Linked DNA regions of Mus musculus: region 1 is reported to be linked to region 2. The links are microRNA targets in miRTarBase. Many come from high-throughput screens and were not tested one by one. Region 2 holds a microRNA gene; the other region holds the end of a gene's coding sequence.
What was found. The annotated mature microRNA mmu-miR-26a-5p reads UUCAAGUAAUCCAGGAUAGGCU and lies in region 2 at 2,817-2,838, shown strand. An mRNA with a match to its seed (bases 2 to 7 or 8) in the 3' UTR can be bound and repressed. Matches are read on the target gene's strand: a 7mer-m8 pairs with bases 2 to 8, a 7mer-A1 pairs with bases 2 to 7 and ends in A, and an 8mer does both.

Region 1 (7,117 bases), not on the chromosome of region 2:
CCAAAGCTGGATTGACTCACACACAAACACCACGTAGAACCTCCACGCTGGAGAAGGGCTTATCCTAGGAAGGAAGGCAGCTCGCCTGCATGCTTTATCACAGCTGACTTTGCTAACACGGCTGGCAGAAAAGAAGCCAGGATGCTGTGTGGTTCCATCCCTGGGTAAATTCTGGGGGATCCCCACAGGGGAAGGAGATGAGTAATTCCCCAGGGATGGGGTGTCACAGAGGAAGGAGCTGAAATGGGTGATGATAGTTGGGGGGAGGGGATCAGGGTTTTTTTTTGTGGGTGTTGAAAATATTCTAAAATTAGAATGTGGTGCTGGATGCACATCCACAAACTAAAGCCCACTGGGCTGTGGATGTTAGATGGGAATTTTATGGCGTAGAAAACACATCTGAGCGAGTTCTAAAGGCAGGCAAGCAAGCCGCACTCCAACCTTGCACCCCTGTAATAAAGTTTGCTGTTTCCTGAGAAATGTTTCTTTAGGAAAAATTAGTGTTGAGGGAGAGGAGTAGCCCCCCTCTCCCCCAACACACACACATACCACTTTCCTGTCATAGGCAGGGACCGGATCATGGCTACCTGGCTCAACTAATGCGACCACTGGAGGGAGTCCTAGGTTTCCTTCTGGACCATCATGTGGTGCCATTGCCAAGACCCTGATACTTCAATCTCCTCATTCATTCATTGGCACCCACAACCGTGAAAGCTGCCGCGGAGAAGCAGCTCTGCACCTGGGAAGGTCTTGGACGCTTGCCTAGCAAAGGGCTTATCATATCGGCCCTGCACAGGGGCAGCATTCGGTTCCCAGCACCCACATCAGATAGCAGAGATCCAAGACCCCTCCTCTGGCCTCCTCAGAAACCTTCACTCATATGCAAACTCCTACACAATTAAATATAAAATGTAAAAAGGTAAGAAACCTTCCCAGCACTGCCACAGCTCCTAGAAGACACACAGTTTCCTGTTCTTGGCCCCTGAGCTTGCCCATCCCCCTCCCCATCCCTGTCCCTGTCTCCCACCTCCCACCCCCCACCCCACCCCCAGCTGTCTCTCCTTGAGCTACTTGGGTTTTCCTAGTTCTTTCCTTTCACCCTTAGCCCTGCCTTTGGCCTCTGTAACCAGCTCCAGAGAGGGAGTCCTCCTATTTTTGCTGTTGTTGTTGCTGTTGTTGGGTTGGTTGGTTTTGTTAAGACAGAGTCCCACAACATAGCCTAAGCTGACTCAAGGATGCTTCCTGCATCAGAGCAAGGATTACAGGTGTGAGCCACGTCTGACTTTCATTTATCAGGAGGGAAAAGGTCTCTCTCTCTCTCTCTCTAATCCAGACTGGCTCTAGATCACCCTGCCTTAGCACACATTCCTGATCCTCCAGATGCTTGTATATCCCAGGCTAGCCTCAAATTCACGATCTTGCTTAATCTTTCCTTTTTTAAGGAGTTATTTATTTATATGAGTTCACTATAGCTGTCTTTAGACACACCAGAAGAGGGCATCAGATCCCATTACGGATGGTTGGAGCCAGCATGTGGTGTTGGGAATTGAACTCAGGACCTCTGGAAGAGCAGTCAGTGCTCCTAACCGCTGAGCCATCTCTCCAGCCTGCTCAATCTTACTTTAGTTCCTAAACGTTCTGCTGCTGCATTCCCAATGCTGGGCTTACAGGCTTATGTCCCACTCCCAACTCCACCCCTCTTTTTGTTGTTGTTGATGATGACAGGGTCTCACTATGTAACCCTGGCAGTCTGGAACTAGCTATGTATATCAGGCTGGCTTCCGACTGATTCACCATTATTGGGAAGTTTAAAATCAATCTTTAAAGCTCTGTGTTAGTATTCTGGGTGTGTGCGTGAGCACACATATATGGAGGCCGGAAGTATGTGTCTTCGATTGCTAACCAGGGTCTCTCACTGAACCTGGAGTTTACCTGTTGGATAACCTGGCTGGCCAGTGAGCTCTGAGGACCTGTCCTCAACACCCTCCTCCTACCCTAGGGTCACAGACCTGAACCATTATGCCTGGGTTTTATGTGGGTGGTGGAAATCCAAACACTGGTCTTTATGCTTGTATGGCAGGCACACTATTGAGAGTCATCCCCCCAGCCCTTCCAGTCCTCATACTTATGGTCTCCACTCAGGGGACCCCAGGGCCCGGCCATCCAAGGCAGGTCCACATTGCGCATCGCCACCATATTTACAGTGCTGTCTCTTTGTCCCAGTGCTTGCTGCCAACCAGTTTGTAGACACTCGCCCCCCATTTCCTGGCTGGCTCCTCTGCCACAGGCTACAGTTGGCCCCGGGGTTACCTAGGCACAGCAGCAAGGAGATCTATTCGGGAGTCACTCGGAGGGTGAGGGTTGTGCCTGGCATGATCTCTGGCATGCAGGTGATGCTATGTTTGTTCTCTGTTTTAAAAATGTCAGGGGAGGGGGTAAGGAGGAGGGGGTTGGCTGCTCTCTTGTTTTCCAGGAATACTACAGGAAATTGACAACGACCTGCTGACATTCTCAAAGTCACATGAGTAGCCTCTAGGTAGACTGAGGTCTGACTCAGGGCAATGGCTGGAGGTGACTCATGCAGCGGTGAGCAGGTGTGCTGGTGACTGTTAGAGAATGATGCTAAGGATTCCAAAAATGGCTGGGAGTGTGTACTTTCAGGACCCTGCCTCCCCATGGGACAGAGGTGACCAAGGACAGACGGGTAGATCTGGTAACTCAGCCAAGAATATAGGAAGTCTCAAAGACAGAAGGAGTGGGAACTGTGGCAAGCAAGACCTTCAGAATTCTTGAATTGAGGCTTTCTGAAACCCTGAGTGGGACATCTGGCCCGTGCCCTGCACACTGTGGGTAGCAGGTACATTTCACTGCACATCTGTTTCATGTATTTCATGTAAGTTTCCGTTAGTTCCAGGAGTCTGAAAGTGATGGAGTATACATCAGGGCTTATCCCTCCCAGTGGGCCAGAGGATGGAACCCAACAAGGCAGCGCTCCAGGTAATCTGACCATCAAGAGCTGGGCACTGGGGCCAGGCGGAGCTGAATCCAAACTGTGAGTTTAGAGATCTCTGGTTCTGTGACACAGGAAAGATGCCCAGGATCTAACTCACTGGCGGTCTCTTCTGTGACATCCAGCCTGAAGCTGACTCTTTGGAATTAGTGGAGTTAGCTGGGCATGGTAACACATGCCTCTAATCCCACACCGGGAATGTAGAGGAAGGTAGTGGATCTCTGAGCCAAGGCCAGCCTGGTCTACAGAGCCAGTTCCAGGACAGCCAGGGCTACACAGAGAAACCCTGTCTCAAAATTAAAAAAAAAAAAAAAAAAAAAAGGCGCTTGCAGTGTCCTTCCCCATGGTAGCAGGAATCAAGTGCTTCCTGCCCTGTCTGTCCCTTCTCTGTGCCATGCCCTCTAACTCAGGGCATGCTGGCTTCAGAGTCCCCACCCCTCTGCTCTTCACCCCACTTCCTTCCATGCCCCAGTGAAATAACGAGGCACAGCCCACAGGAAGAAGATCCAGGAGAGAAAAAAGAAACAAGTTTTATTAAAGCCCCAACACTCGGCTAGAAAAACCAAAAGGGACGGGAAGAGAGCGGGGAGGTGGGGAAGAGAGAAAGGACATTAAAAAGGAGACAGAAAACACAGCAACCCTTTCCATTTAGAAATCGTCAATTTACACTGACAGAGGTCACAATATCCACAGACGCCATCACTTCTACACCAACACAGGCCCTACAGGGTGGACGGGTGGGTGTGGAGCCGGGCTGGCCTTGGGGGGCCCCACTTGGGACCTCACTCAGAGCCTTTGCCCGAGGCCCCTGGGGAAAAGAGTATATTGTGGAAGGGGCCAGAGAGAACCCCCCATGCGAGTATCACAGCACAGCGGGCAGGGGTGAGGGGACCAGGTACAGGGTCCCCCGATGTGGCAGTTTCTCTTGTCAAGCACACACTGATGGATAGCGGCGAGGCGCATGCAGCTGGGGGTGGGGGCGGGGATTGACGTGCTGTGGGCTTTGAGAAGACAGGTGGGGTGGGGAGCTTGGGAGGGGTGCCGGGCGAGTGGTGCAGGGATGATGGAACACACACATGCACACGAGTACTCTCACACACAGAGACCCTCTCACACGCCTGCCTGCACCTGCATACAACCATACCCACAGCTGACGTTATCTAAACCCATCCCTATGTGGTCCTCACGTGAACAGCCAGGCGTGTCCACACACATCACACACGTCCTTACTCCCAAGGCTCTCCTCACACAATCATGTTGATACCAGGCAGGTCACATTCACATACATGTACAAGGCTTCACACATACAATATCACGTTTTGCCTATGCACACACAACCCATGCATGTGCACACACAAGTTATGTAGGCTTGTGCCAGCGTGTGCACACACACACAGAGGCTGCACACAATCCCATACAAATTCCTTCCAGGACACACTCGCGCAGTAACCAAATTGAAGAACTAGAACTACGCAAAGCCCACGGGGGCCTTGCCTGAGCTCGTGGGGCAGCCCCTGCATGAATAGTCACTTCTTCCACCTCCCTGTCTCTCCACAAAGGACACTCAACTCAGGACAATGACGGAGGGGCGCACACTCAGGTCTCAGGGCTGAGCGGGTGTGGGGGCAAGCAAAGAGTAGCAAGCAAAGAGAAATGGAGTGGAGGGGCCCCTCCCCCTCCCCTCCCAAGCCAGGGGTCTCTGTACAGCCAAATCAAACCAAACTGCTCCACAGGGACTACAGAAACCAGGCCACACGCCTGTCCCCAGCCCCTCCCCTGCCAGACAGTGGCCAGGGAGAGTGTGCTGTGGTTTTCTTTTTTTTTTTTTCTTTTTTAAATATTTATATATATTTATATTACGTATATTATATATATATAATATGTAAATATATTTTTAAAACAATATAAAATGTTAAGACACTTCACTTAAATGTAAAGAGTTGCTTGCAATTAAAAGTAATTGCATCATTGTGAGGTCCTTTTTTTTTTTCTATTTTTTTTAGGTTTTTTTGTTTTTTGTTTTGTTTTTTGTTTTTGTTTTTTTTTCTGGGAGGGATTTTTTTCTTCTTCTTTTGTTATTTTTCAAAAAGGCTTGCTTGCCTTAGTACAAAAATGACCCAAAGCTAGAAAACAAGAGCAAACTAACAAAACAAAAATAGAAATAAAAATAAACAAAATCAAAGAAAGGAAACACAACCCAGTTTTCCCTCCCAACCCAAACCCTCAACAGCTGCCGCTTGGCTTTCCCCTGCTGGGCGCCAGGGTCCTGGGGTTCTGTCCCTTCAATGGCTCCTCTCTGTGCTACTGTGGGACTGGTCCCAAGACCACACCTCTGTGCTTACATGCTTTGTGCTCCAAAGGGAAGCCCCTCCACCTTCCCGATCTTCTTCCTTCTTGCTCTGGCCCCACTGTAGCGGCTGGGGGCCAGGCCAGAACCAAGTCAGCCTCTCCCTTAGACTCCTGGACCCATTCAAAGCCAGTCTGTCCTGTGCAGGACCCCTGCAAGGTATCCAGACTGGAGTACTAACTGGCTCTTCTGCCTTGGGGACCCTCAAACACCTGACAAGTGGTCACCAGATCCCCACCGGCAAGTCGTCGCATCTCATGCCTTCCCTGAAAACCCTCAAATCATAGAGGCTGGCTGAAGGTCAAGTTGCGCCCTCTAGGGGTCAGAGACTTTACTGCACCCACCCGTCCCGTCTCCCTGTATCCCTCAAACCAGACCCTTCCCACCCTCCAAACATGTTTCTAGGCCCTTCCATCTTCCCCACCCCACCCCCATAAAATAAGTTAATGGCATTTAAAGTGCTAAATTAGGGAACTAAAAGTACCAGATGCCCCTCTCAGAACTGCCCTCTCCCAAGGCAGATCCCCAGGGGCAGGCTGTCCCCAGAAGCACCTTCCATAACAGGTGTCCTGGAGACCTCCTTCCATCTGTTGCTAGCACCAGCCGGACACTGAGCAGCAGCGAGCCGGCTTCTCCCCTGGCACCTAGTGTCCCCCCTTTCCCTCCTCACACCCAGCCTTGGCCTCTTCTCTGGGGATCCCCTCCAGCTAGGCCTGCTTCCAGGCCCACCCTGGTTTGAAAGAAAAACCACAGGCCAGCAGCAGAGTTCTGTCTCTTCGAAGGCTGGACAGACAGTGGGCGTCTCCAAGGCCAGGGTCTCCCTTGTCCATTGTCCAGCCTGATGCTGGGTCAGTCCTTGTCCATCTGTTCCTCCAGGAAGGAACCCAGTAACGGGAGGGGGGCCTCGCTCCGCTCCAAGTCTCCGTGGCTCAGAGTTTGTTCCAAGTGTTCTTGGGAAGTTAGAGGAGGTGGGAACTTTGGATGGACTTGGGGGGAGGGGAGGGGAGGAGGGTGAAAGAGCAGAGGGGAAGAAGATGACAGGAAGTGGGCGGAGCAGAGGCCGCTAGGGAACCGGAAGTCAGGGGAAGTTGGTGTGTTTGGTTTTTAGCTTTCTCATTTGCTCTTTAAAAAAGAAAAAAAGGAAAAGAAAGATAATTAAAGGAAATCGCTTAAAAAACCAAAAACACCAAGAGGAGATGAGAGGGCAAAGGGCCATGCCCCCTGCAACCTTTCAGGCGTGAGAGTGGGCAGGGTAGAGCGGGCATGAAAGGAAGGAGGGACGGATGGCGGGAGTATGGGAGGGGCGGGCTGGGGTGGTGGCATGAGGGGCTTCTAGAAGGAGATGGAAGAATTCCTTGCCCCAAAGGAAGTCAATACAGGGATGGAGGTTCTGGAACCAGAGGGCTTTTCTGAGCCGGGGCTTGAGGTCTCATTCGGACCGCTCACCTCTTTAGATGGTTTAGTGGCCTGGAACAAAAACAGGGGTCAGGGGTCAGAGAGAGCAAAGGAGAGCCTTCATGCTGGCTCCTGGCTGAAGTGTTGAAAAATGGGGAAACTCCACAAGTCCAAGAGACAATTAACTGCAAAAGCGAGAACCAGAGGGGGCGGGGCAGCTGGAGAGAGTGCTCCTCTGAACTGGGGGGGACAGGGTGGGGAAGTGTGTCGTCAGGGCACAAAGAAGGTTGAGGGGAGCCATGGGGTTGGATCAAAGGCCTGGAAAGCAGAGTGGGGAGGGGGGGTTCAGTCCATGGTTACTGAGA
Region 2 (7,117 bases):
TTTGTGCTGAGTATTTGCCAGGGCCCTGTAAAACTTTCGGGACAGGCACACACCCTCTTCCCATCTCTGCTGTCTACTCCCTACCATCCCAGAATGACACCAAATGTTCCCACAGCCTTAGTAGTCTTTAGACCCCGCTGCCTCTGCTCTCTGCTTTTAAGCAGGACCTTCCTGTGTTGATGACTGTCTGCAGGCAGCTTGGCTCTTCCCAGTGTTGTGCTGAGGGGCGATTGGGCTTACTTCTTGTTGGGCACAGCTCAGCAGCTTGGCTCTGCTTTTAGATCCCTGGGACCTGCCTGCTCCCCGAGGTGACAGAGCAAGATCAAGGCAGGATCTGCGTGGTCATTGACCTGGATGAGACCCTTGTGCACAGTTCCTTTAAGGTGAGTCAGCGTGGTACCCTTCCCTTGGGCCTGTGTGAGCCGCACAGCAGGGTCAGTAAGGTGAGCAGATGAACGTGGAAATGACAGGGACAGGACAGGCTGTCGGCCACCCTGGAGTCACAGATACCCAGAGGCCAAACTGAAGAGGTTAAGGCACACACACACACACACACACACACACACACACACACACACACCCCACCCTAAATGCTGTGTCTGTCTCGACTTACCGTGGAAAAAGTAGGTAAGCATTATCTGGTTTTCCTGACTGGTGCGTTTGTTAACTCAAGAAAGCCTTAAGTTGGGTGCAGAGGGAACTTCCACAATCCCTGTGCTTGGGAAACTGAGGCAGGGAAATCACAAGTTCCAGAATAACATGAGTTACCCAGTAAGAGCCAGTCAGTCTTGAAAGAGCCAGGCATGCATGCTTGTGTGCATAGCTCACGGAAACAGGAGATGAACACGGCTAGCCCAAAGAGCCAGGCATGCATGCCTGTGTGCATAGCTCATGAGAGCAGGAGGTGAAGGCTAGCCCAGACTATGTAGCAAGACCCCATCTCAAAAGCCCTGAAACTTACCTCAGGTAGAATTTGGTGGGTAGGATGGATGGGTGGATGAAGGAGAAGGGAAACCGGAAAATATGTGATACTTTTTGCCCTGTGCTGGCTAAGAACTGCTCAGTGGGCTGTCTCCAGGGGGTAGGGTTTCCTGTCTGCTGACACTGTGCACTTCTGCCTTCTAGCCGATCAACAATGCTGACTTCATAGTGCCTGTAGAGATTGAGGGGACCACGCACCAGGTGAGCTGTTTGCCAGCATACACCCTGCCTCAAAGGGAAACTGCCTCTCAACCTGTTTATCATCAGCTTCCATGTTTGTTGATGGCTTGTCTCCAGATCATCCACACTTCCCTCTAGCCAACACTCCTGTCTCTATGTAGTCAGGCTGTTTGCAAGAACTGTTGGCTTTTTTAAAAATATTTTTAAAGAATTATTTGTTTTATGTATATGAGTACACTTAACTGTATTCAGACACACCAGAAGAGGGCATTGGATTCCATTAGAGATGGTTGTGAGCCACCATGTGGTTGCTGGGATTTGAACTCAGGACCTCAGAAGAGCAGTCAATGCTCTTAACCACTGAGCCATCTCTCCAGCCCAGGATAGGGTCTCTTTATTTAATTCTAGCTGACTTGGACCTCACAGAGGGCTGGAGTTAATTAAAGGCCTTCACCATTGTGTGCAGCCCCTGGCATTTTCACATCATAGTCCTAGCCATCACTGTGGCTTTTTAAATGTGCATTACTGGTTTTGCCTGCGTGTGTGTCTGTGTGAGGGTGTCGAATCCCCTGGAACCAGAGTTACAGTTGTGAGCTGCCAGGGGTTGCTGGGAATTGAACCCAGCTCCTCAATGAAGAGCATATGCTGTCCAGCCCATGCAGTCCATGCTTAGACCAGGCGAGCCTTGCTCTGTGTGCAGGGCTGTTAGGATTTGCTCCTGTGCCCTCTGGTGAAGAGCTACTGAATGTGTCTTCCCTGGCCCAGGCCCCTCCTATGACACCTTTCTGACCTCTACACTGGTTTCTGTAAGTGCTCCATATGCATCTGTCAGAGTGGCAGAGTCCAGGCTCTGCCGTGTACACCCTGCTGCCTAGGGTTAAGGACCACGAGGCATTGGTGAGAGACCATGTGCCCAGAGGCATGCTGGTCGGCCCAGGGGAGGGCCGGAGACAGTGATGCAGACATCCTAGCAAGCATGAGACCTGTTTTCAGACTGAGAAAGTTCAGCTTGAGACTGTCCTGGGTTTGTCATCGTAGCCCTCTGCCCCTTTACGAACTTCTGTACAGAGCCTCGAAGCTGTGGCTCTTTACTCCACCCATCACCCCCTGCTGTCTAGTTGAGGAAATAGAAATGTACAGAATGTATGGGGCTCTGGCATGGGCAGAAGGGGCCTGAGTGAGAGGGCTGCCTGCCATGTGGATCTGAGGAGAGCCTGGGAGGAGAGCAATGCTTGGTGAGGAAGGGGCTTGTTTGTGAGGCTTAAGAAGTGGAAGGTGATGGATAGATCCATTTGCAGCTGCATGGAGGGTTCTGCTGCTAAATGGGAGGGCTCTGCTCAGTTGGTGCTGATGTGGGCTAGGAGGGACTGGGGTGGGCACACCCCCTGTGCTGCTTTAAGGAAGTGAGTGAGTGGGCCTAAGGAACACTTGTGCAGGCTGAAGTAAGAAAGAAAGAAGAAGCAGCAGATCATAGACTGGGTGGCGAGTTAGTTGAAGAACCTTTAAAAGCGAGCAAGTCCTCGAAGCTGGTGGTGTGCACACAAACCTACGAGGGTGTGTGTTTGAAGAAGTTTGTGGTTCTTGCCAGATGGGACCTACACAAGCCGTCCTGCTGGAATCCCGTACAGAAGGCTACTGTGGAGGCTGCGGCTGGATTCAAGTAATCCAGGATAGGCTGTGTCCGTCCATGAGGCCTGTTCTTGATTACTTGTTTCTGGAGGCAGCGCATGGTCTGCCCTCAATGAAGATGGCTCCTGGGAGTGCATTCCTTCCTGCCGGGTTAGGGTTGGGCCTGTTGAGGCAGCAGAAGCCTGGTAACATGGTAGAGCTGTCCATGGTGGGGCAGAGGTCTCAGTGTCTCGACCTGGGTATCTAGGCCTGCTTGCTTTTCTGTCAGTGCACAGGCAGAGCCGGTGCTGTGTCCTTGGCCTTGTGGGGTTCCTACAGCAATCCACTCTGTCTCCCAGGTATATGTGCTCAAGAGGCCTTACGTCGATGAGTTCCTGAGACGGATGGGGGAGCTCTTCGAATGTGTTCTCTTCACTGCCAGCTTGGCCAAGGTACCTGACTGCAGGAGGGGCAGAAGGCAGGGGAGAGCCAGCCCTCAGCCTAGGCTAAAGCTTCTCCTTCTTTTCCAGTATGCTGACCCTGTGACTGATCTCCTGGACCGGTGCGGGGTGTTCCGGGCCCGCCTGTTCCGAGAGGCTTGTGTGTTCCACCAGGGCTGCTATGTCAAGGACCTCAGCCGCCTGGGAAGGGACCTGAGGAAAACTGTCATCCTGGACAACTCCCCTGCATCTTACATCTTCCACCCAGAAAATGCAGTGAGTGCTCGCATCAGGGACTGGGGTGGCTGCAGGCTGGGCCCGTGGGCTTTATCAGAGGAGTCCACAACCCCTGTGTGGCCCAGCAGCCTCCAATGGCACTGGAAAGGAAAGGAAATATCAGATAATGTCACTTTTTCCTGCCCCAGGTGCCTGTGCAGTCCTGGTTTGATGACATGGCAGATACAGAGTTGCTGAACCTGATTCCAGTCTTCGAGGAGCTAAGTGGAACTGATGATGTCTACACCAGCCTTGGGCAGCTGCGGGCCCCTTAGCCTTCCTGCTCCAAGAAACGGCCATCCCAACAGGGGACTCTGCTACACTGTGCCTTTGTGGTCAGCCTCACTGACGGGGTCTGCAAGTAGCCAGGGCGTGTGGGACAAAAGCAGGTCACACGCAGAGCAGGAAATCAGACCAAGACCCAGAGCTCTCTGCACCCCGTGCTCAGTTCCCAGGTGGTTGTGTGGGTGTGTGTGCGTGCATGTGCCCGTCCGGTAAACTATGGTCCTGGGTGCCCAGTTGTGCAGTAGGGGGAGAAGCTGAAAGATAAGGACTCAACCCAAGTCATTTGTCTTCTTTCCTGCTATGCTGTGAGCTACTGAGCTTTACAGCCATGAAAACTATTGTAGGCTCCCTCGCCAAACCATGGCTTTCCCTCAGCATCAAGACCTGTGCCAAGGAGAAGGGAGAGGCCGGAGGCTGCTTTGGATGCCCAGACACACATCTTTCAGAAAACACAGAAACCTAGCCAGCAGCTGCAGACATGTTTGGGAATATGAGAGCATGTTCGCAGACCCACCAGGTTCTGTGTCCTATGGGCTACACCTGGCTCCAGCAAGAATGCCTGCCATGGGCACTTCTCTGTACCCGGGCTCCAGTGCCAGGCCAGCCTCTCACTCCCAAGCCATAGTCCTACTCCCATGGGAAAGGAGGTCTTCTCTCTGCCCTGGAGGAGGACATATAGCTGATTTCTGTTCTTTTAACTCTTAAAAATCTCTTTCTAAACTTGGAGTGGTTTATATTCGCCCGAGCTCCAGTCCTGGGCCTGAGGTTTGTGTGGGAAGCGCTGGGGTACAAAGAAAATGCAAATGTTCAATGCAAGATGTCTGTCTCCTTGCGTGTAGATCCCAAAAGTGCTCTTCAGGGGTTCTGTGCTAGCTGATGCAAGGACATTAGCTCCAAAGGCTGGGGAGGGCTTGGCTCTCCCTCTGTGTCTTCCTGGTGTCCCGCCCTGGCCAGCTCTCGTCTGCTCTCGCCTTTATCCTTCTCGGCTGCTGCTCTTCCTCTCCAGAGCCTTGGGAGAAGGACTTTCCCCGGTTGTACTTAATTGATTGGTTGTCCCAAGTGTTGCTCTTACTTGATTTGCCAAATGCCTCCTGCTTCTCGTTATAGGACTGAGTGAGGTCCTCATAGCTCTGTGCTCTGGGCAGCTCTGAGCTCTCAGCCCTGTTGCTTTCAATGTCAGTCACAGAGTGGAAGTTTCCCCAAAGTGGAAAGCTACCATTGGGAACACAAGGGGCCCCTGAGGGGCCTCCACCTCACTGCCTTAAGTGAGTCCCGCCCACTCCCTGCCTCCCTCCGAGGTGGGCGGGAGTTCCTACCCCATCTCTGCTTCCCCTGGAGGCCGGCCAGCGTTTGTGGGTTGGTTCAGGTGTGGTACCTCCCACTCAGGAGTCAATATTTTCAAATTTTTCTAGTTTCCACACACGAGGTCCTGCCTGGGGTTTGAGAAAGCCTGGTGGAGGAGTGTGGTGGTGTGAGTGGAGACTGGCTGGCATTCCTCCAGCACTCTGCAGACTTCTTCCTGGGCCCGAGGCTATGGAGCCTTGGCTTTCACTTCTGTGACAAACACATGCCATTTCCCCAGCCTCATTTGCTGGTGTCTGTAGGGTCCTCCCAAGGTGAGCTGAGGGCTGCAGGTGCTAGCCAGGAACATGGGAGCTTGACTGTGGCTTCAGGTCCAGACCCTGATCTCACTGGCATCCCAATACTGCAGGAGGGGTCTTCTCACAAAGCTCTGAGGGCTGGTCTTGACTAAGCAATAAGAGCCTCAGAGTTGATTGAATTTTAAGGTCCCTTTCTGGCTTCTTGGTTCTCCATGTGACCAAAGCCCAGTGTGGCTTCATGGGAGCCCTGTTACTTCTCCATGAAACCCCAGCTCTCTAGGCCTGACTGCCACCAGAGTCCTCTTACCACCTGCAGTCTGCCACAAAGATGCCATATCAACTCCTCTCTTCCCAAAACTAAACAGGATCTATCATGGTGGCACGGAGTCAGCTAGATGTTGTCTCTTGCTATCCCTGTGCTAGTTCCATGTTTTAGAAGCAAAGTGATACTGGGGAGGAGAGGAGGGCAAGTGAGAGGAGCCAGTGCCTCCTGAAGCCCTTGCTCCACTGCCACCAGCCCGCCTGCCCCAGTGCAGACTGGTCTTCAGGAGTCAGTAGACCACCGGACCAGGTGTCAGCATCCACTCCAAGCCATGCTAGGAATCTGCCCCCTGCCGGGTTCAGCTCTTTAAGGTGCCTCTTCAGGGACACAGTGTGTGTCTGATTGGGCTTCGCATCAAAAGCCTGACGTTCCTGTCCCTCTTATAGGGGGAGCTTTGGACACAGGACCAGTTTGATAAAGGGCCAGGTAAGGGTTTCCACTCTGCACATTGTAGAGGGGACACCGAAGGCCCATGGGTCCCTAATTAAAGAAGTTGAGTGAATTTGCCTTCGTTCAACCAGGGACCTATCTCACTCCCTCCCAAAGATTTTTGTATAATTGTATAACCCCCCTCCCCCTGTTAACAGTGGCTCAGAAAAGCTTTGTACTAAAAGCATGGGACCCTCACAGCAACCATTCCTGGGAGATGGGTCCCTTATAGGTCCATGACCTGCTCTGTTCAGAGGCCTCTTGGCAGTGTGGCCTGTTTGTGCTGTCCTGCATCCAGTGTGTTGGCCTGGCTAAGTGAAAACGGTGAGCTGTTTCCCCTTTGGGCTACTTAACCACGGCTACTCCTTTTTTAAAAATGTCCTAGTTCTCCCCTACACACACACACACACACACGGTTTGATGAATTTCCAAACCACGGCTACTCCTTTTTTAAAAACGGGTTTGAACTCCTGTTTAGCCAAGAGTGATCTTGAGCTGGTCTCCTGCCTCCACCCCCTGAGTGCTGGGGTTACAGGTGATAGCTGGTCTCCTGCCTCCACCTCCTGAGTGCTGGGGTTACAGGTGATCGCTGGTCTCCTGCCTCCACCTCCTGAGTGCTGGGGTTACAGGTGATCGCTGGTCTCCTGCCTCCACCCCCTGAGTGCTGGGGTTACAGGTGTGATCACCTTGCTGGCTTGTGAGGTGCTGGGGACAACCCAGGGCTTCGTGCATGTCAGGCACACACTCCCAACTAAGCTACATCCCCAGTCCCTCTTTCTAGAAAACAGATAAGTCCATGTTCAGGGGAGAAGAGGTCACAGGTCAGGCCAGCTGCCCCATCCTTTAGTTCGGGGTTAGCTCCCAGAACTGCCCTGCACCATAAGCTGGTGATTCTCCATGCCTGTCCTTACCCCGGATCTGGCTATTCCCGTGATGCCATTTGGAGGGGAGAGGTCTGCTTCCCACTGTGACCAGGCTATGGGATCCTTGGCCAC

Region 1: miRTarBase lists Srcin1 as a target of mmu-miR-26a-5p. The part of its 3' UTR that is shown has no 7-base or 8-base seed match.

What each region holds. Positions count from the first base shown.
Region 1 is chr11:97,505,825-97,512,941 of GRCm38, forward strand. It overlaps Srcin1 (SRC kinase signaling inhibitor 1), which reads right to left. Exons shown (of 20, transcript NM_018873.2): 20 at 3,516-6,824. The coding sequence ends at 6,690. Among named protein-coding and RNA genes, the nearest start is that of 4933428G20Rik, 9.0 kb to the left of the region's middle.
Region 2 is chr10:126,992,727-126,999,843 of GRCm38, forward strand. Mir26a-2 (microRNA 26a-2) reads left to right here and starts at 2,804; the gene lies at 2,804-2,887. Ctdsp2 (CTD (carboxy-terminal domain, RNA polymerase II, polypeptide A) small phosphatase 2) reads left to right here. Exons shown (of 8, transcript NM_001113470.1): 4 at 282-383; 5 at 1,126-1,182; 6 at 3,129-3,221; 7 at 3,300-3,485; 8 at 3,635-7,117. The coding sequence ends at 3,760. It overlaps Mir546 (microRNA 546), which reads left to right and starts at 5,714; the gene lies at 5,714-5,834.